Rattus norvegicus: one gene and its partner. The protein of the gene in region 2 interacts with the protein of the main gene of each other region in a pairwise test. Links are inferred from orthologs where the notes say so. Each region holds a gene or a part of one and is shown on either strand. Other genes may lie near its edges. The genes, in order: Rgs17 and Aqp1.

Region 1 (11,497 bases), on a different chromosome or scaffold from region 2:
GCCTGTTTTATTATGATGCTATAGGTCTTGAATTACAACCTGTGTATTTCAATGGTCAATCAGAAGCACCATAAAAAAAGCCTTTGGTCCAATATAAGGAATTAAATATTTGCTTTCTTAACCACACTCATTGTATATAATAAAACTCATTGTATATAATTATATTTATTGATAAAGGGATTTAAAAGAAAATGTCACATGCAAAGTTTAGAGAAATTCAAGGAGATTTTGGATGTCAATACCTCTTGCTAGAATTCCTAATTCAAGACAGTTGTATGATTTTTATGAAAACTCTTTACATCTACATAAGTAACAATACAAATCTAGTTCTATTGCAAACAGGATTTTTATATCCTATCAGTTCCGCATGAGGGCCTCTCACCCATCATTAGAAAGTCGAGGCTCACTCCTGAATCGCTGCGGTTTGACAACATTGGGTAAACAGAAGTACGTTATGATTATAAAATTCTATGCTCAGAGGTTTGTTTAGTTTTTAGAGAATGCCATAGATTGTCCAAGGTCTGCAATCCAACTTTGAAAACCATAAAACTTTAAAAGTCAACACTATAAGCTCAGATGGCCATTGCTACGTTCAGGTGAGGTGTCTCAGCTGTTCAAGCCTGTAAGGATGGATGGTGAAAATTGACTTCAAAGTTAACCTTTGATCTCTATGCACGTGTTGTGGCATGTTCTCTAATTATCTCCCCTCTCTCACACACATATTAATACAAACATTCATAAAATTAATTTAAAAAAAAAAACAAACCTCCCACTGATTCCTGAGACACACTATGGTGGTTTGAATGAGACCTGTTCCCTACATGCTTGTGTATTTGAACTCTTGGTCTCTAGCTGACTGCACTGCTGGAGTTTGTCAGACCTCTAGGAGGTGGAGCCTTAAGGGAGGAAGTATTTCACTGAGGGAGCCTTGGGATTTTGTAACTCAGTAGCTCACTCATTCCAGCATGCAGTTGTGACAATGTTTCAGTGGTTTGCTCCTCCCTGACATTCTGCACGTCTATGCCTCTGTAACTACAAGCCAAATGGACACTCTTATTTAGGTTGATTTTCATCAAGGTGTTAGCTTGTGTTAACAAAAACAAAACAAACAAAATACCTAATAGACACTCTCTGGATGCATAAAAAAATCATTAAGGTAATAGATCAGATATTTGCCTCTTAAAATATTTAAATTTTATATGCAGCCGAAATTTAAGAAAAGGATATGACACTAAGCTGACTTGATTTTATTTTGATGAAAATTTGACTCAATCCCCTCATAGGTTCACAATTGTGCCTATTTTCTTTTTAATTCCATTAAAACTGGAAAGTTCTTTCTATGACATCAGCAATTGGTAGAACAATCTGCTAAAGGCAGAGAACTCCTTTTCTCGAACCATTCAGAGTGAAGTGTATGCTTGAAAACCAGTTAGCAACTGGGGCTTCTATAGGGAACTGCGCAGGCTGAAAGCAAAGCCACACCGGATGTGAGCTCTGAGCTCCCCAGACGGATGACCAGGATAGGGTCCTTCAGCTTTAACCATGATAATTTCTCTAATCTTTGTCACTCAGAGTCTTTGCCACTGAGCTTTTCCTTTCCTCGTTTGGGTTTCCTTTTAAAAAAAGAGCAATATTATCACTCAGGGGACAAGCATGCATTTGAATAGTATTACACACCTAGGGTAAATGATACAAACACGTCACAGTTGGAAAAGATGGTTACAAGCATGCCACAGATTGATCACTGTCCTTAGTAAAATGTGTAAGTTTTGAAAAATATTAAGTGCACCTGCCATCTTAGCAATAATTTGTTGGGAAGAATCACATATCTTGATGGGAATTAGGCAGTATATATAATAAACCTAAAGAAAAAAGGTATACATAAAATAAGAGAATAAAGGCACACACTTGTTCAAATAGGAAAATGCTAGAAAGAACAAAAAGTTTACAAATAGAAGAATGGCTAATAAATTAAGTCATATACAGGATGAGTTGCTTGTAGTCACTATATCACACTAAAATGTAGAAATGGTAACAAAGTAATGGGAGCTTTGTAAAGAGCAAGAGCGGCACTGTTCAATACACATTAATTATAAATGACAATACCTATGCATATGATGAATTGGTGGCAAAGTATATCTTCTGTACAGTGTATTCTATCTGTGCTTAAAGCTATCCCAGGATCTCCTCACTGGGGGACTGAGGCGGGGCAGATGAATAACAAAGTCATTAAATGACTGAATCAGTACATCAGCCAAATCTGTCTTGACAAAAATATTTGTGATTATTATATTCTACGTGTGTCCTCATTTCATGTAAGTTCCTGTGTTCTGGGATGTGTAAAATAAATATAAACTCATCACCCAGAAGCAAGCCAGTACTCTAAGTGCTATATTAGGAGAATGCATTCACAATTCTAAAACTTGCTTCCTCCAAGAGGCAGGATCATGGGCATAATTTCAATGAGTGTACTTGGTAAAGAGCATTGTATGTATATATGTATGTATATGTATGTGTGTGTGTGTGCATGAGAGCAAAAGTGTACGTGTATATATGCACTCACCTGCAGAAGAGCATTTTCTGTCTGTACCTTAACTTTTGAGAGAGGGTCTCTCACTAAACCTGATGTCATCAGTTTCTGCCAGGTTGACTGGCAGACAGTTCCTGGGATCTTCCTGTTTGTCACCTTGAAACCTAGTTTTGAGTTACAGGCATTCAGAACATGCCTTGTTCATATGTGGGTGCTAGGGATCTGAATTCAGGTGCCCTTGCTTTCAAAAGATGTCTTGTCATGTAAGCCATGTAAGTCGTACCTTCCTAACCCTCTACCTTGGTTTGGAAACAGGACTTGGAGCCCACGGTTTCAGCTGAGCAGGTCAGGAGACTTTTCTGAGCCATGTTAGTTTTGCAAAGTTAATTAGTTTAGAAATTCTCTTTCTTAGTTACTGTGTCAGGTGCTGGCACTGTGGTAAGTATAATAATCTAAGTGGGCTTTTGAAAAGTTACTCAAGTGTCTAAAGGATACATTAGAGGCCAGGGGATGCAGGAAATATGGACAGTGTATCCATCAATTTCATAGGAAATGTCCTGTTAGAGGAAATGATGTATTTGTTTTAGGCTCTCCATAAACCCCACAGTACGCTCTGTAGTAATCAGTGGTCAAATGCATTGGTCCTCTCATTCTTCAGAAGAGTGACATATCTTCCTTGTTCTGTAGACAGAACTAGGGTATCCAAATCTCCTGTAGAAATGGATTTCCCATCCCACTTAGCTCCACCCTTCTCTGTTGGTGACTGCTTTTCTAGGGAAGTTCATGCAGTTCAGAAAATGAACTTCTAATGTGGGAGCCAATCCCTTCACAGTAGAACATTCACACCTAAGTTCTTCCTGACTCTTTTCACTGGGTGTGTCAGTGGAATGCTCACCAATTAGGGTGGGGGGTCATTCACTTTTATTTAGCTGTATAATAAGGCTAAATAAGTAAGAACAGACCTTTTTGTTTTCAAAGTGTCTAGCTCTGGGGTAGGAAACTCTAACGAGATTTATTTATTATGAAAGAGTAGAAGAAGTCCGTGGGGATGGAAATGGACTTAGACCATTAACATCATGAGCTTAAACGAACTAAATCCTGATAGGATGGCCCTCCAAAACTGGGAAGGGAAGGTCATTTATTTGCTGTGGAAATGAGCACAGACCCCAAAGTAGGTACTAGCCCAAGAAGAAGTTGAGGCATCGCAAAAAAAAAAAAAAAAAAAAAAAAAAAAAAAAAAAATCTGGAAATGGGCAAAACGAACACCTTACACTGTCAGGTTTTTTTTTTTTTTCCTTCTTTTTTTTTCTTTTTCTTTTTTTTTTCTTTTTTTTTTTCCGGAGCTGGGGACCGAACCCAGGGCCTTGTGCTTGCTAGGCAAGCACTCTACCACTGAGCTAAATCCCCAACCCCACACTGTCAGTTTTAAAGTGACTGGATTTCTTTATCTTTTAGAGACAGTTTTAAAGAGAAAGATGGCTACTGGTGATCTGGGTTCAGTTGTTATCACCAAGGAGAGGCATCTCACTTAACAAAATAGAACATCTGATCCTTTCCTGTAATAATAAACACTTGTTTTCTTAGCTCCAAAAACCATCAATGAACCTGATCCATGGGCCCTAAATACAGACCTTAAAATTCTAAACTAGTAAATAAATGTATGTTGTCGTGAGTGGGCTAATTACTCTTTGAGTTCATGTTAACACCTCCCAGTCACGTGACTTGATGAATTAGGACTTGAATTACCCTTGGATTAGTTATCAGTGTTATAAAGCATGCTCCATACATAACTGCTATTACTATGACAGACTTCAGAAATGGATACAAGGAACTTAAGAGCTTTGCTGTTTGCATCTAGCAGCTCCGAACCGATGAGGAAAACACCGTCTTCCCTGTAGGAGTAAAATGTATTTCTCATTTTGTCAATTAAATGGTTTTCAGAAAGGTTTAACACCCTGAAAACCAGTGTGACTGAGCGCCGGAAATGCAGATGGAATCCAGTCTTAGAAGTGTTTATCAACTAAGGGTTCTCTTTATCTGTGATAGCCAACCCATGATGGATAGAATCCAGCTCTAACACCCTCCTCCCCCGAAGAGACAGCTAAAAGCTTGCAAAGTTCTTCAGACCAGATTTAGAAGGATGAATTTACTGAAGGGTCTGTACGGAGTATTGGAAACACTATGCCCAGAGCCAGGAACAGGGTTCCTGGGTGACCAGGATCTCCCAAGTGAGCGACCATTCTCAGTTCTCAGTGGAGGAGGAGGACACAGGGTGGTCTTGCATTGGTGTCTTTTAGACCAGGTGACCCCTGCTCAGTCTCTTCTGAGTGAGTGGCGCGGATTGCCAGAGACACACAGCAAGCAGCCTCCCGCTGGCCAGGAGCAGGTCCCCACCCGCTGCTCTGTCCTTCCGCCATTCTCAGGTCCTCCGACATTTTCCACCAAGACACAGAGGTAGGAAGAAGAGGAAACAACAGGGAAGTGTCTGCACCCAGCCTCTGCGGCAGCCAGAGGAAAGAGAGAAGAAGGCAGGCTAGCGAGGAGACAGCTAGAAGCTGTGATCCATCCATAATCAGGAGAACCAGCTCCCACAGCAAAGGAGTCTGTGATGCACCCAAGCGGGGCAGCGCCTGGGGGCTGGTAGGCGTTCCCAATCCTCACCCCCTTGGTTGCTGTAAAACCGACCCGGTGCAGTGCACACCAGAACTCGCTTTCTCTGGACTAAAGGGGAAGGGGGAGGAACAAAAGAGACTCTCACCCTCTGCACACACACCGCACACACACACACACACACACACACACACACACACACATACACACACACACACGCACGCACGCACACACACACACGCACACACACACACGCACACACAACAGCTGCTCAAGGTATGTGTAAAGCCATCACCTGCACCTGAATCGCTTATTTTCCCTAAAGGCACCGAAAGATAAAGGGAGAAATGAGACCATCCGAGGTGGTTCGCGCCTGAGACCATCTCGATTTATTTCACCATCGATTCTCTACTAGCCAAACAGCTACAAAAAGCCGGGGGACCCCGAACCCCTGCGCGCTCCCCCACCCGCCACCGCAGCGCATTCTCACCTCCAGGTCCCTGAAGGTGCTGAGATTTCTCCTCCCGGGAGCAGGGACACCCAAAGCCGTGACCCGGCAGGAGAGCGGTCCAGCCCCTCTACAGAGCCTGGGGACGCGAGTGGACCGAGCCCTGAAGCGGACCACGCGGGATTCAACTTCACGAAGCCGCGAGGAGGTGCTGCCCGCCGAGACCCTTGCACCTCACTGCTTCACCAGCCACAGCACAGGCGGCGGGCGTCCCCTCCGCCCCCTCTTTCCTACCTCCCCCTCGCCACCTACTTCCCTGTGGGGTGGGGGTGGGGGAGCAAAAGGAGAGAAAAAAAATCAAGCCCACCCATCAGTGCAAAGCAGACATTTTTATGTTATTTCTTATCCTCTCCGGGATTCAGAGGTCGCGTCTTACCAGGTGGCCTGGGATGTGGGCGACCGTCCCCGGGTCCGAGTCCGAGTGTGCTCAAGGCTGGGCTGTTCCGTCCTCTAGCGGAGCGGGCTCCTTGCCATCCGCCCAACTTCAGCACCCGGCGACGGAGAGAGGGAGAGAGGCCAGGATAGAGCCGAGAGGGAGGAGGCTGGGGTGGGCGGGGAGGGAGCGGAGCAACTCGCAGCGCATGCGTCCAGGAGACAGGCGCAGCCCCTCGCCCGGCGCAGCCGGAGGTGAGGCGTCCTCCCCTCCCGCGGGCGCTTGGATGCGTGAGTCACCGTCGCAACCCTTCCTGGCGTGCCCGCCCGGCGACAGAGCTCAAGGTGTCGATGTCTCTGTGCCCAGGCGGCTCTGGCGACATCAGTGAGGAGGCTCTGCGGTGGGGGTCGGGGTGTGTGTGTGTGTGTGTGTGTGTGTGTGTGTGTGTGTGTGTGTGTCTTCTTGGAGAGGACACACTTTGTGGGAAGGAACCTCTCCCCAACCCCCCCCCCCCCCCCCGTTCACTTTTACCCACAGCCCGGGCAGTGTTCACCTAGTCCCTGGGACAGTGTTTGTAAGTCTTTCAGGCACTCAGGTTCCCTTAGCCTCGGGCTATCCTCAACCCTTTTGCCTGAGGGATTCAAGAGAATGCAAAGTTAAGAAAGTTGGAGTCTCTTGACTGTATCGTTGGCGTACTCAGAAATACCCACGAATTCCTTCAGGCGCTCTCTGGGCTTAGGTATGTGTACCCTCTGGGGCACTGGAGCTGAGGTTTTCAGTGAGATAAACCTAAAGCAGGGCGGGAGTCAAGAACTCTTAGCCTGGTTTGGAAACCTGGGACATAAAGCATCCTTAGAGGACCACTTGGCAGTCACAGGAATTGCCAATCTTTCTGCCTGCCAGCAGAGCGCAGCTTGGTGGTGAAGGAGCCTTGGATGCTTAATGCATTCCAAGCACTAGATTATACCTCCTGTGATTAGGCTGAAGTGTTTCTGAGGGGGGAGTGAGGAAAGCGGATATCTTGCTCTTTAGATTTCACATCTGTGGGGAAGAGGAGAGAGTTCCCGCAGGAATGATTAGGCCCTTTCCCTTCCAGCTAATTAGAACTGATTGCTTGTAGCCGTGTATGACACTCCCCTGCCAGGGGGTCCTCCTGTATGCAAATACTGTTGATATTCCAGCCCACTGAGCACCTGAGCCCCGCCCCCTTCAATTACTATAACGAGGGGTCTTTTTTATTCAGCTGCATCTTCTGCTTTGCATACTAATACCCTGAAAGGGCACTTCTTGGAGCATGTCTACAAACTACTGGTCTGTAATTAGAAATAAATACAGAAATGGAGAATAAAATTTGGAAAAATATCTAGGGATTTACCATTGCCATGGCACCTGAGTGCTTGGCTCGGTTGTCCCTGGCAGCTTCATTTTAAGAGTAATTCATTTTTGTTGTTGTTGGAGAGTATAAAAGTTTATCTTAGTCCATTATGGCCGCTCTAACAAAATACCACCTAAGGGGTGACTTACAGACAACAGAAACTAACTTGTCATACTGCTGGAGAGTGGAAGGTCTGAGGTCAGATTCAGTCAGATTCCGTGTTTTAAGAGGGCTGGAGTCCTGACAAATGGATCTGCTTTCTCCTCACATGCTGGAAGTTCACAAGACAGCCTCTGGTGTGAACGTAAAAGATCACTACATCCACACACGAGGCTTCATCCACTTGGTCTAACCAATTCCGAAGCCAACACCTCTCACTGCAGTTACTTTAGGAGTTTAGGTTTCAACATAGGGATTGGAAGAGACAGATGTTCTGTATTATTGGTTTGTGCAACTATCACCCTCGAATACCTGTATCTTTATTCTTCATCTGTAATGGACTTTTGCCGACCCATGTTAGGTGAAGAATTACAGCCATCAATAATTCTTGAACGGCCGCCTTTACTTCAACAGCTATCCTTCTTCATTTTTATTGAGCAGTTACTTCCTACTTGACACTGGCCTAAATTCTTTTCATGTGTTTCCTATTTTCTCTTCATGACAACCCCACAAGGTAGCTACTATTATTACCACATTTACCAGGCATCTCAGAAGCTGAGCGGAGGAAATCCACCCCCTCCAAACCTGTTCCTCTTTGGACTGTTCAACCCAGTTATCCAATCCAAAACTGTGGAAGTCATCCTTGCTTCGCCTTCTTGCTTTTCATCCTCATCCAGTTAATTAGCAAGTCATATTTCCTCTACCTTAAATATATATGTCCAATCTCCGCTGATGTAGCCTCCGTCCCACCCACGGTCATCTCTCACCTGGACAACTCAAAGCCTCCTGTTTGGATTCCTTGTTTCTCTCCCCCAGACACTCCAAATAGCAGCTTAAAACCATCCTGTAGTTTTCCTTGCATTTTAAATACAGCCCATGATCCATCCCCTAGCTTGGGAGGATCTGTTCACTATCCTCCAAGATGTATTTGCCGTTATCTTGCTCGAGTAGACCATAGAGCTCTGAGTGTTCTAGCTGTGCAGAGCTGTCAGTGTGGGATGCCTCTTGTTCTTCCTTCCTAGGAATCCCATGCACGTGGTTCCTTACATATCAGGTTATTTAACATTATGGAGGCATCGGCAATCTGCTCCTACTGAAGGCCTAATACAACCATCTTATAAACTGTGCCAATGAGGCAAGCAGTTCTTGCTTATTTAGAAGAAGAAGGATCCCCTTGTCTTGTTCTATTTTATTAAGGCAATATTTTTTCCAGTATTGAAATAAGTTGTTTAGTATCTTCCTTCCAACCCTATACTAGAACGAAGTCTTCTAAAACTTCACTTTCACTGTCTCATCTATGGGGTCCAGAAGAAGATTTGGCACATAACATCCACTTGGTGAATATCTATGGATGACTAAATGGATGATTGAATAGATCACAAATACAGAAAAATGGTTTTTGCATTTACTAATGTTTCTTCTTGGATTCTCACCACAGTCTGTTGTTTCTTGACATATATAAGTAGAGTACACCGTTACCTCTGCCCAGCCTGTCAAAGACGGTTCTACATGGCACATGTTGTCAAGACAGTTGTAGATATTTGCTAAGACAAAGATACATTTGGAGACTAAAGGACTCTCAGGATGAAACTCTCAGACCAGCACACAGGTCTCATGGAGGTAGCCACGAAGACACACAGAATTACAGAATGACACGCGTGCTGGTAGGCTGGCCAGGGCTTGGGCTCAGGCTCTGGAACTCTGACCCCAAGATCGAAATTATGTAGAATGCACATAAAAGTGGTAGTCCGCCAAAAATAGTTAAAGAGCAGATTACAGTTACTTGGGGTTACTTGGATATTTACTGTCAGCCATTTTGTGCTATAACTCCCTGGATGTCTGACATTAGCCATGTTTTAGCTGACTTAGTGCAGATATGCGTAAAACCAGCGTGTGGCCTATGACCACATACATTGCTCTTAAGACCTCTTGTTTCCAGCAGAGACCTCTGGAGTAGCTTCAGAAAAATACTCAGTTGATAGAATCTACACCTTTACATTCTGCTTGGTTCTGTTTGGTTCACTACACTGTCCCTTGAGCCAAACCTTTGCTCCCCTACAGTGACTAAGCATCTTTTTCTGTGTGTTTACCTCGTTTAGAAAGTTTGGCAACTTTCAGTTAGCACCATCAGATTCTTGAAAGACTAGCAAATCACAGAGCCTGATGGTGACGGGTGGGTGTGTTAACTGGAGACTTGCAAAAGTTCCTACATGAGTTGCTGGTTTGTGGAATGACCTTCACCCTTATCAGATTTCCCTCCAGGGCCGGAAGGAAGTCAAGATAGGGGAAAGCTTACATTCTGATTTTCTCAAAGGGGTTTTTGTATCTATTAGGTTTTGGTTTATGGTAGAGCACATTTGTAGAGCAGGTCTTCGAGTGTATGTATGTGAGAAAATTAGCATGCTGATATTCAACATGGAGAAGGGTCTGTGTGACTGTCTTTTGAAATACACTGAAGATGCAAACAAGGAGTAGACTCACGTCGCTACAAGACAAGTCTTGTTAAAGACTTCCTGGTTTCCTGATTTTCCAGTGGACTCGTCTCACAGTGTGAAATATGTTGGAGTGCTACATGAAAGTACAGTCTCGCCTAAATCTTTATGTGTGAATAGTGTAGAATTCACCAGACACACAGTGATTGCCTATTCAAGTTTCATCCACTCACTCCTCCTCTCTCCCACTCACTTGAGCAATCTTAGGCAGCATCTGCATGGCATTGTGGGAAATGAAAGTCACAGACTAATAATCCTGAAGCCAGGTAAGGTAGGTATTGCATATGGGCTTTGGCAAAATAAAATCAATGGGAATCAGATACTGTGTGCAATTACAGGTAGTCGGTCAGATTGTGAGAAGAAAGAATTCAAGGGACCAAGAAGATTGCATCGGGCTTTCCTTTGATAATGACGAGTCTTCCATTCTGGGCCAGTGCTTACTGAATCTTATAGCCGAGGGCAGTAAATTACCACAAACAGCATTTACCAACTCCCTCCGGGTCCCTTGGTATAAAGAGCTGGAAGAGTTGTTAGGTAGCGTAAATGAGTATAGATAGGGGGGACTGTGACTGTCTTGTCACCTTGACATGAGTCAGCCTAGCAAGTTGGGCTGCACTTGCCGTTCATCTTGGCTCTAGATCCCCTCTGTATATCTTGGGTTTTGTGCCTCTGGATTTCTGCTTGTATAGTCTAGGGCAGGAATACCACTCTGTATCCCCAAAAGTCTTCCAATGCAGTGAGGTCCGGCTGTGTGTGGTTTGTTCGTACTTGCCATCTTGTTCCACAATCTTCAATGCCAACTGTCTACCTGTCTGCTACCATTTGCTTTATATGCTGATAAATTTGTTAAGACAGACATTACCAGCTCATCAAAAGTTCTATCTGTTGCCTGTGGTGGGACTTTTATGATGATGATATCTTGCCATCCTGACCCAAATCTGTGTCTCTCCTCTGCCACTATCCCTTCAAGCTTTATGATTGTTCCCATGTGTTTAATACTGAGCATCAAAATCCACTCATTTGAGGTCCCATTCATTCCTATCTGCATTGATGCACCATTAACATTGGCTGAATGGTACAGGTCAGCTATCTGTTCAGGACTAAAGCTAAGGGTTCCAGATAATCTTCTAGAGTATGGAGAGATGTTTATCCTTAGTGAACTGTGCTAAATGCAACTAATGTATATTATACTCTGAGAAGGCAAACACTATTTACAGCTATATGAAGGTTGTAGTATGTTTTACAGCCTGAGGTTGGAGTGGAGGTTGGTCCCTATTCCCAATCAGCAATGTTCCTTCCTCCTTAATTGTGTGTGTGTGTGTGTGTGTGTGTGTGTGTGTGTGTGTGTGTGTGTGTGTGGTGCATGTGTGAAGGGTGGACATATATGGGCATGTGTGTGGAGGACAGAGGGACAGAGAACAACCTCAGGTGCCATTCCTCAGGAGCTACC
Region 2 (11,497 bases):
GGCCGATAGAGCAAAGGGCCTATGCTTTCCCAGGTAAGCTGGGAGACGATAAGCCAGCCAGTGGCCTTTGAGGCTCACATGTGAGAGGACAGAGCAGGAGAAGGCAGCGAGGCCTGGACCTTAGGGTTGATGTCACTTTGGGCTCATAGGAAGATATGCTGGCTACAAGGGGACCAGACACTTCCCAGCTTGAAATGGGTTGCTGGCAAAAGGTAGCTCTGAGACTGCCAGTGTCCCAGTCTAGGATTGACCTGTGCATGCCATGCTACCTGAACCCTCCCTGCCACTTGAAGGCAGGTCACCAGGACAGCTCACAAAATCCCAGGCTTGGGGCCCTGACTTTTGGTAAGGACCTCTTGTGCCCCACCCTGGAGAAACAGCAGAGAGCAGAGCCAGGCCTGGCTGAGGCTGCGACTCTGCTCTCAAGGAACAGCTTGAGAGACATGGCTGTCTGCCCACCGCACTGTCTCCTGGACTCAGTGCTGGCCCGCTGGGGAGCGGTGTGCCCCACCTCATCACCTCTCAGACTGCGCTTATGTGTGCTCAGTGTAGAGCTGTGTGGGTTTGTGTCAGCTGTGTCTACAAGCGGCCATGTGTCTGCGGTGGTTTTCATCCCTTCTTCTTCTTCTTTTTTTTTTTTTTTTGCTACACCTTAACAGGTTTATTACAGAATCATTAAATGATCTAAGAATGTTCAAAATATTAGACCTATAGTCAGAAAAAACAATTTAGACTAAAAAATAAATTATTTTTAAAAACGCACAACTAAACGAATCAGCTCAAACTATTTCCAACGTGAATGTTTTTAATAATCCTCCCTCAGAAACTGATAGAATAAGCCAGTCCAAAAAATAAAAAATAAAAAAGGCACAAACAAGTGAGAACTAAACACGTAAACGGAAATACTCAATTAAAGGAAAGTAGGGGAAACTGTCACCTTGGGATTAGAGAGTAGTCAGTCTTTTGAAGTCCCTGGGGAAAATTTACACAAGCTGATAGGTCCTGGCCAAGCACTCCTGGGCTGAGCCCACGATTCGATTTGATGTGACTCCAGACACTGTGCTGGGCATGTTCTGCAGAGCAGGGGCTCTCTCGGGCACAAAGTCCCAGCTGGCTTCTGTGTGTTTGCACTGGTGTGTCTGATGGCATTTCTGAATGCGTCACCATGAGTCCCTCATGCACCATGCCCACAGGGGTGGTGCCACTACTATCTGGGGAAGGGGGTGGAGTGTCAAAAGAGAGAGACCCCTTGAGTGAGAGCAGCTGCTTTCAAAGGCCCTTCATTTGCTCCCAGAGATAGTTTATCTTTCTGATGAGGAACAATACACGAGGAAAAGGTTTCCAGCTTCCTTTCTTCCTTTTCCTTACTGCAGAGCAAAGAGAGGAAGAGGCTCCTGTGAGGACCTCCCGCCCGCCCACCCCCTGCATCCCCAGATCTAAGCAGTGCTCAGAGCACATTCTTTGCCCTATGTCACGTATGTGCATGTGCGTGTACATGTTTACAGAAGGTTTGGAGCATAGTCCTGTACTGACATTGCCCACTGTACAATCTTGACAAGAATCTATAGCTTGATTGGGTCTCATTTTCCCGAGAGCAAAATGCAGGCACTGACCTAAACTCTAGCCCCAAGCAGTCTTCTGATTCCTCCTTGCCCAAAATCAGGTAGGCACCCTCTAGCCAGCATTCAGATACCTCAGTTCAAGTCTCCACCTCCCATTCTCAGTTTGGCATAAAGCCTGTAGCACAAAGTCTCTTACCCACCTACACTGGACCTCTACCCAGCCAGGCTCCCCCAGAGCAGCTTCCCTGTCAGGGGGCGGGGGGTCCAACCTGCACGTTTCTAAAGTTAGAGCGCTCAGCTGCTTCCTGAGTTAAAAACAAAATCTTTATACAGAACAGAAACTCCCCTCTGGAGTCTCTACTGGAATTTCAAGCCCCTGAAGGGGCTGATTGTGCCCACCGCTGTCTTTGGTCTATGGGATTCAATCTCAGTCTCAAGGAAGCTCAGGAACATTAGCTGTTTGGGTGAGCATAGCCCCAACCCCTGCTCGTTCCGCTGGGGCTGTTCCCACTCATCCCAATACTGTGGTTGAGGAGCCCCGCTAGTCTCCAGGAAAAGTCCCAGACAGAGGAATCCCTGAACACTGTGGAGCCTCAAAGACATTTTCCTGCCCTTATCTACAGGTAGGAGGCTCAGGTTTCAGCCGTCCAGGAGCTCTGAGACTCGCAGGTTCTTCTGAAGAGTAGGGACGGGAAGGTTCCCAGGGCAGAGAACTGCTACCAACAAGAATACATGGCTTCCAGTGGCTGTGGGGGTGGGTAGGGAGAAACTGTGACCTGCCCAGAGAGACCAGGAACACACTGAGTGTGTCCTAGAGAGTAGGACTGCGTAGGGACCTACTTTGCTGCGGAAAGCTGCTCGGGCTAGAAAGAGTAGCACCAGGGCAGAGGAGCTGAGGCTCCGGTGGGATGGGGTGGGAGCAGCTTTCCTCAGATGCTACCTGCACGAGTCCTCTTGGAGTGTTGTCTTTTAAATACTTGTCCCAAGTGGACCCTGGTTTGGGACAGGTTGACCACACTAGCTGTACAGATCCAGCAGATGCTGTGGAGGACCCGGCCTCAGAATATTTGTGAGAAGGAATGTTTGCCCTGCCACAAAGCTCCACCTCTCTGCACTCTCCCCCTGTCCTTTCCCTCCTAGCTTCTGCCTGGAAACAATAATTACAGGTCCCAGCTATGCTGTTACACCCAGCCCCCAGCTCTGTCCCTGGCCATGCTGAACTTGGTCAGGGCATTGGAAATTTACGCTTCTTTTCCATAGCCCACTGCTAAGCCCTAGTCAAGGTAGCAAGAGATTTGACCCTGGTTGGCCTACAGGTAAGAAAGGACCCTCTCTCCTACTGTCTGGGGACGCTAACACCCAAGAAACTGACAGAGGAATATGCATTAGGGACCGATATATATATATATATATATATATATATATATATATATATATATATATATATATACACAATCTGGAATAGCAGGTGGAGACATTTCCAAGTATTTGGGTCCTGAATCAATAGAACTAAGAGATGACCCTGAAGAGAATAGGCGTGCCCTCTGCCTGAGACCCCTGGTGGCTAGGCTGGGAGGCTCTGGGAAAATAGTCTCCTCCAGAAACAGAGACCAGACAAGGTCCAGAGCTCCTACCGACTTCAAAATCCAGCCTCCTACTGTGACACCACTCTGTTAAATCTGATGACCACTTCTACTCCACCGCCTTCCTTGCCCCTTTGCCTCAGCTGTACCCAGAAGCCCCTTCTCAGTCCACATTTGGGTTCTTATAGGATGATCTCCCTGGAGCTCTCCTGGCCCTCCCACCCTTTCGGTTCAAAAGTTCCCTGGCCCGCCCTGACACCTCTTATCTCACCTGCCTCCTGCCTGGTATCACAGGCAGCTGTGTGGTCTATCTGGCCTCAGGCCCATGAGCTGCCCAGAGTGGGGAGCCTGGCTGACCCAGCCTTGCTCTCAGCACCCAACAGCCCCAGTCATTTCTGCAGGATGAGGGCCAGAAAGAGGAAGAATGAAAACAGCCGGGATGCCAGGACTCTAAAGCTCCAGCATCCTCTACTCTCCAAAGCCGGCCACACCCTTCTGAGTCCTGTTCATGGGTTCATAGGTGGGAATTAGGGCCATCTTAGCCCAGCCTATTGCATGGAGTTACATAGGGTGCAGGTGACTGACCTGGGGCAGGGAGCCTCAGAGCCTATAGCCAAGAGTGCAAATTAGGCTCTACTTCTTTACCCCACAAAGGACCTTATAGGATGCCTGTGGTCGCTATAGGGCGTTTTCTGAGCCCTGACTTAGTCAGGAGAAAGTTGTCCCCACCATGTCCCTAGGGGACACCCCCTGACTCACCCAACCACTTCCTGCCACTTCCCCCTCTGTTTTCTTTGGAAATCTCCATGCCAACAACTCACCCCACCCAGGTTTTGGCGGCAGGATGAGGGTAAGAGCAGAGGAGCTGTGAGAGCCTTCCCCAGGGATGTATAGGGAAGAGGCTGCCACCTGTTCCATTGACTGTTGTTCCTCTAAGGCATTGAGACCATTCCCAGCCCCGCCATAACCAGGAGCCAGTGCCCAGAGAGAGCCATTTGGCTGGCGGACAGACTGTCCTACATGCCAAAGGTCCATTGTTTGTTTGGATGGGGTAGAAACCTCACCACAATGTTTGGTCCCTCTATATAATACTGCTGCTGGGGCTCTCTTAGCCAAGTCCTTTGGGGGGTCAGTAATTAGTTCCAGCCAACAATATAAGCTAGTAGTGTGGGAGTAGCAGGAATGTCACCAGAACCTGAGGTCCTTTTGAACCTCGGATGCTCAGCTCCAGGAAGACTTGGTGGTCAACAGCAAACAGGGCTTAGGGTGCCTGCCTCCTTCCCCAAGCTGTCTTCATACTAGCCTGAAGCCTTTTCTCCCTCAGCTGTATATATTCTGCCTGACACAGATACTCTGTCACCTCTGGAAAATTGGTGGGGGGTAGGAGAACAAAAACTGAAATGGGGTATAGCCAGACGCAGGTGCTGCCGAAGCAATCATGTTCTGCCTCTGCCTTGGATGACAATATTAGAAAATGCAAAGCCTTTGCCAGCAAGGGCACGGGTCTTGCCTGTCACTTGACTTGGAAGAGATAAGAGCTAGGAGGGAGCATGTATTGCTTGCATCCTCCCCAGCCCCCACCTCAGCGGGAACTTGAACCTCCTCGCTGGAATTCACTGAGGCATCTAGCCCTGCTCCTATTGGAGAGACTGAAGTCTAGAGGGACATGGCCTGACTAACCCTGCTCCTTATGCTACCTACGGCAGCCAACTTTTCTCCAGCTAAGGTCTAAACTCCAGCCACAGGGCTAATCTTCAATCTCCAGCTGAGCAGAGGTTGACTTGAGTGTGATCCTGAGGTGTCACTGTGGCACAGAAGTGCTCATCCCTGCAGAACAGCCAGGACAGCCGCCCTCTGCATCAGACTTTCACCTCCTCCCTGCCTGCATCTCCACGACCTGAACTTCAGTCGGGAAACGAAAGGCGTCTACTCACGCATAGCCATCCAACTCACTGGAGCCCTGGCCCACATCCTTACTCCTATCCCCCTGCATCTGCCCTACTGGGGTCCAGCCAGCAGCTTCCTTTCTCTGAGTCTTTGCTTCTGGCGAGGGACTCTGGGCTATTCCATTCTGAGATACCCCATGCCTTTACTCAGACACTCCTGCTAAACTGGTCCCCATTAAACCCAAGTGCACTCGGTCATCCTGGACACTTAGCTAAGAAATTGGAAAAGGTTTGTGACCAGGCAGCCACCACACAGGCCACTTAGCTGTGTGGAATGGCTCAGGGACAGTTATGTTGAACAGTTGCCACATACTGTTGCCAGCGTCTGCTTATCATTAAAGCCAGAAACAGTGGGTACAAGTGCTTACATTCTCCCCAATGCAGCATCTACTCGAAAGCAGCTTACACAAGTTCAGGACCTGGGCAGACAAGCTTGCACCTCCGTTTCCACCTCTGTACACAACAAGCAAGCGTGCCTCATGGTTCAGTGGCCAAGGACTACTGAGCCGAGCCCTTTTTCTGAACGGGTATCTAGAAAACTCTCCCAAAACTCCAGAGAGAGTTTTGTTTCCTCCACTTTGTCTAATTACTGGAGACAGAGGAAAGAAAGGGAGTCATCTCCTGACTTTCTGAGGAAGTTGGTTTGGGAACCTGGGTAAGGATTAGAAGCCACTTAGAAGCCCAGGCAACTTATCAAGAGAGTCACACTCAGACACCTGCAGAAGTGGCTTTAAACATGGTAGGTATCAGGAGAAAGTATACTTAGGACAGTAGGTAGAGGTTGCCTAGTGGACAGGGCTGCAAGGGAGAAAAGTGGATGTTCAGGTAGGACAGACAAGGGCCAAGAAACTCCCCTGGAGGGGGGCACTGCTGGCACACAACTAGCTGCCCCCTCAGCTCATTGCTGGCAGTAGATACTCGCAGGGGACTTTGGCAACCATTATTGTCCAGCTCCTCCACGCTCTCAGCTCTACCAGCAAACAGACCCTGTAGCCCAGCTGAGTTCTGGCCCCATATCTCAGCGTGACCCCAGAAACCTTCATCTTTCTCTCTGTTGTTCAGTACTCCCATTATATGGGTAGGCAAATGGAACCAGTCCCCTCTCTGCCTTCTCCTACAGACCCCTGCCTGAGATACCCCACTCACGTCATTTCGGCCAAGTGAGTTCTCGAGCAGGGAGGAGGTGATGCCGGAGAGGATGGCGGAGGCAACGATGGCTCCCACACACTGGGCGATGATATACATGACAGCCCGGAGGATGCTGATCTGACAGCTGAGCAGAAGCCCCAGTGTGACCGCTGGGTTGAGGTGAGCACCACTGATGTGACCCACACTTTGGGCCAGAGTAGCGATGCTCAGACCAAAGGCCAGTGACACCTTCACATTGTCCTGGACCAGCGTCTGGTTTCTCTCCAGTGGGTAATTGAAGCCTAGGGCAGAACCGATGCTGATGAAGACGAAGAGGGTCATGGCCAGGAACTCAGCCACCACAGCCCTCCAGAAGAGCTTCTTCTTGATTTCGCTGGCCATGTTGGCAGGGGCCTTGACTTAACCGCTGGATGCCTGGTGCTCAACTCCCTCCAAGAGCTGAGCCACAGCCTGGGCTGGGCCTATTTATAGGGCTGGGTGGGGGGAGCACAAAGGGAGGAAGGCCTCTCCTTGCTCCTGGCCCGCCCCACACCACACGAGCCTCCTCTCTGCGATGGATGCAGACAGGGCTCTGCTGTCTGCCTGCCAACTTTTTCCTTCCTCCTCTCCCCCTCCTGCCCTCCCTTGTTCCCTCCACCCGCCTCAGCCCTCAGCCCTGCCCAGCCTGAGGAGGCAGGAGGCAACCGTTGCTCTAATAGGCTTTGAGAAATTCTTCCAAGCCAGCCCTTCTCAGGGGGCCAGAGAAATCCAGGTGTCCCCGCCCAGCCTGCAAAGCTCAAGGGTGCCTGAGGGCAGAGCCTGGCACTCTAGAAGGGGTGGAGAATAGAGGTTGTCTGGACTCCCTAGACGAACATTGCCCTCCCTGGAGGTGGCACCAGAAATTGCCTGCCTGTCCCATCCCACTCTGAGCAGAGTTAGTAATCTGAAGTTCTCAGGCCCAGAAATCTGTGGGCCAGTGTGACTTCCAATGTCCTGGCCTGGGCCAAGCAGCTTCATGTCACTTTGTGGATGTGCCCTCACCACCCAGGCCTCAGTTGATACGGGTAGAGAAGCTTTCTGGGAGCCAGCTATCATTCTGCAGACAACGGTAGGCCTTAGCCAAGCTAAGTTGTTGGAGAACCCCCCGTCCCCAATCCTCAAACTTAAAACAATTTGAGCCAAAGATTTGAGAGAGGTTGGGGAAGATATTTAGTTTTTTTTTCTTTTCCCCCCTATAATAGGAGAAGGAGCTAGAAGGTTACTAGAGAGATAGAAGGAATGACAGCTGGACCTGAAGAGGAGAGAATGGGAGACGGATGCAGAGATGGGATGCTGGGTACAGCAGCAGGAAGCATTATCCAAGCGATGGTGGAAAGTGAAAGAGGTTCCCCAACCAGGCAGGAGACAGGGGCAAGATTTAGGGATGCTCCCACTCATTCGATCCTCGCCTGGGCACTGGATTCAATCCTTAGCATCTCAGGAAAAAACAATACTTCAGAAACAGGAAAAGCACCAAGCAGAGGAGACATCAGGCTGGACCAGAATGGAGATACAGAAAGAAAAAGGAGGAAGGTAAGGGGGACCCAGGGGAGCAGAGTCACTTTCCAACAGCAGGAGGAGAGGAGGGGAGGTGGGTGCAGACAAAGCACCCACCACGCTCCCTGTGTACCCCCAAAACCTGGAGTAAAGGACCAGAGAACTGGTCATTTGCCTACTGTCTGAGTGCTGGAAGGTATACCAGGGACAGCAGGTAGGCTCCTTCTGTGACACAAGGCGGGACCTGTAATAATCAGGTCCCCTGCCTTCCTATCTTAGTCCTTATCAGAACCATTGGCTTCTTACCCATTAGAGGTGGGAAACCAATGCTCACCGAGAGAATGGTCTTTGAGTCTGACATCCATTAAGGTAGGGCCAAGCGCCTTCTACCCAGGGTCCACACTACAGAGAAGGATACTGTCTCTCAAGGGCCAGCTTCTGTTCAGCGGCAGCCCTGGAACCTGATGTGACCTACAGAAGTCCTGTGGTGGTATGTTTGATGGGAGCAGGTGGCTGGTTGGGAATTAATTTATCACCGCACACCTAGATACTTAGAAGGCCAGGAGGAGTGGCTCTGAGCAGAAAGGTGGTGTAGAGGCTGCTTGGCAGCTGTATGCAATCGAAGACTTATTAACCCTCTAGAGAGGGAGCCATGATGGAGCACTTCCTGGAACTTCCACCACATCCTATATTCTGAGAGGTTCCCCTGTGACAGAGCCCCTCAAGAAACTCAGTTTGATTCCAGGGGCCTCTGATCAAAGATCTGTCTGCAAGGCTGTGTAAGGCTCATATCTGATGCTGTCTGGCTCAGGGACCCAGCCAAGAGGATTCTAGGAAAATCATAGGGAGAGCTGGCCCCACACCTGCAGACCAGGTTTGTAGCTGAATTATGTGGGGTGTGTGTGTGTGTGTGTATGTGTGTGTGTGTGTGTGTGTGTGTGTGTGTGTGTGTGTGTGTGTAGAAGAGTGGTGAGATTCCCTTGGATATTACTAGTATATTCTTTAGCACAAGTATTTTATTAGCACTAATATCATGCCAAACACCATTCTGGATACCACAGGATACCATAGGCCACAAAGACCAGCCCCTTGTCTACTTGAATTTTCCCTTCTGCCGCATAAGCTCTTAAACTGTTTAGACCCACTAACCACTGAAGCTATGAACATGGCTTCGGTTTTTGAGCAAAGGAGATGCCATCGGGGTGCAGGCATTGCCTGAAATACCGAAGTGAACTTTTTCTGTCACTACTTCCCACAATGCCCAGGGGCCCCTGCAATTCTGAACTGGCTATCCGCACAGTAAAGTGGAAAGTTTCCTGGCTGTACGTCAGGCAGAAAGGCCCTATGCCTCGTTCTTTTTCACTGGCCTGTCACGATCCAGGCTGGCTGGCCAGGGTTGGGGAAGTGTGGGGGCCGGGGGCTGGGGGGGGGTAGGCTGAAACTAAGCAGTGCCTTGCTGGCTGGGGTAGCCATCAATGGTGTGCCAAGGGAAGAAACACTGGGATTAGAATGCTCCACAACTTAATCCTAATCCGAGAGCTTAAGCACCACCCCCATAAGGAAAGGTCCCTGAGGTCTAGGTTACTCTACCCAGTTCAGTATCCCAGAATGAAGGGCAAGGACCTTGAGTACTAGCCTCAGGGTAGGCAGGGGTGCTGATGAGTCCACACATAGGTAAGGTAGAGAGGGAAGCATCAATCTAAGGTAAAAAAAAAAAAATCACAGAAGAGGAGGGTGCAGCCAGAGCCCCTACAGTGGAGTCAACCCTGGGAACCTGGTCCAAGGCCTGGCTGTACTGTGCTTCTCCTTAGAGTGTCCCAATGCCCTAGGGCTGGCCCCTGTGTCTTTCCTGTGAACAGACTCTCAAGCCAGACTAAATAAAGCAGACACCCCCCATCCTAGTGCCCAAGCTCCAGGCAGGACTTGTCACTTGGGCCCTGGTGGCAGCCAGCAAGTGCTTTTCCAGCTGTGCTTTACTCCTGAACTGCCCAGCGAGGCCCAGGCCGGTCAGAGCTGACTGTTCACAGGATGATCCGGGGCTGTCTTATGTCTTCGCAGCTCCACAGAACTTCAGTCTCCATCTCAGAGGATGGTGACCAGAGCCTCAGATGCAGGATAAGGATAGGAATCTTAAGTTGTACAGGAAAGAAACATCTCTTCGCATGGTCCCTCTTCCCCTACCCGGAAGCTTTGGTGACACTCAGGGCAGAGACGCTGAAAGGGTGGACTCAATCTCCTGCCAGCAGAGGTTTTCTCTATAAGCCAAGCAAAGAAAGTAATGGCTTCATTCCGTCCAGAAGGCCCACCAGGAATAGAGTGCGGGGTAGGAGGAGACTTGGCACACACATAACTCTCCAGTCAGCATATGCTTACCACCAGCTTGGATGAGTTTTCCAGGCTTGTTCCGGCTTTCCTGGGTTGGAAGCAAGAACGGTGAAGCGGGAGAGAAAGACAGGATATTCCCTGACAGGCCTGAGGAGAGTGGACCTCTCTCCCCTCCTGCCTTACCCGCTGGGGCTCCCAGCTTTTCTGAAGTTTTCCCCATTGGGGCACCTGGTTTTGCCCCTCTGCTGGCTTTGATCCAGGACTTGTCAGACATGCCTCTCTGGAGGCTGGTCCACTTAGGAGTTCATAGCCAGAGGTGCCTATCTGGAGCTGTCCTCCTTGTGGGACAAGGTCAGCCCCTCTGACAATGGAGGAGACAAGGTCAGCTCAAATGGTGGCACAGGACTACTAAGGGTCTCGGAAGCTCAGCTTCTTTAGGGCCAGTGCTCAGGCTCCTCACGGCCCAGTATAGCCACATGACAGTCCCTCTCTTCCCAACTCCTATACCCTAGCTCACCAAACCTGCTGTGGCCATTCAGTGGGCATCCCTCCTTCTTCCTACGTACCCCTGGTCCTGCAGACCCTCCACTGTGATGGCACCCTGGACCATCCCACATTGAGCCTAGAAAAGGCTGGGTCCCTAAGGTTGCTGAGCAGAAAGCTGAGCATGGTGGGAATTCTGCCCCCTATTCCTGCTCACAAAAGAAGGACACCTGCCTCTCCCAGAATCTGAAGGGAGGAATCTCCTTGTCTAAGAGGCAGCGCCTGGGCATTCAGGCATCACGCGATCACTCTTAAATCAAAAACGGATTTAGGAGGCCCCCAGTGATTCAGCAGGGATGGAACAATTTAATAATTTTCTAGGCTTCTGTTTCCTATTCGCCCTGCTCCTCCCTATCCTCACTCTCACCCCTACTTGCCTCAAGCCACAGGCCAGGCTTCTTGCCTTCTGGGTGAGGGGCAATACCACACCCATTTCTGGACAGTGGGGTTTTCTATTTTAATGTTTTACCAGCAATTCTCTGTAGCGGAAGAGTCACTGGGACAGGATGGAAAAAAGCTGCCATTGGCCTGGTGGAGTCTACAGGGCTTTGATCTTTATATCATGCCCAGGATTAAAAAACGGAGATTCAGGAAAAAGGCTGAAGTCCAAGGAGGGCACCTGAGAAGGCAGGATAGACCCTGCCTCTATTCCAACCCACTCAGGGCTAGCAAAGACCTCCGTGACGGTGATAGTTGCAATTTCTCAAGCCCTATTCTGCAATGGGAATTCCTGATGGCCCAGGAGGACAGCATCTTCCCATATGGAGAGGGCACTGCTGGTGGTTTTTGAAACAGGCAGCTAGACCGCACCCTTGGGGAAGGCAGAGCAAGACAGGGCCTCTGCTGCTGTCTTGGGCCTTGAGAGGAAGTGTCA

Evidence for each region.
Region 1: the proteins of Aqp1 (region 2) and Rgs17 interact in binary tests that used the Homo sapiens proteins (3 or more experiments, as listed by UniProt). The two-hybrid records come from large-scale screens. The link is inferred for Rattus norvegicus from reciprocal best matches to the Homo sapiens genes AQP1 and RGS17.

What each region holds. Positions count from the first base shown.
Region 1 is NC_086019.1:44,723,764-44,735,260, forward strand, and holds the start of Rgs17 (regulator of G-protein signaling 17), read right to left. Parts: upstream 6,183-11,497; 5' UTR 6,025-6,182; intron 5,785-6,024; exon of another isoform or gene 5,631-5,784; intron 1,863-5,630; 5' UTR 1,790-1,862; intron 1-1,789. UniProt on the Homo sapiens protein: Regulates G protein-coupled receptor signaling cascades, including signaling via muscarinic acetylcholine receptor CHRM2 and dopamine receptor DRD2.
Region 2 is NC_086022.1:85,807,967-85,819,463, reverse strand, and holds the start of Aqp1 (aquaporin-1), read right to left. Parts: upstream 6,681-11,497; 5' UTR 6,622-6,680; coding exon 6,238-6,621; intron 1-6,237. UniProt on the Homo sapiens protein: Forms a water channel that facilitates the transport of water across cell membranes, playing a crucial role in water homeostasis in various tissues.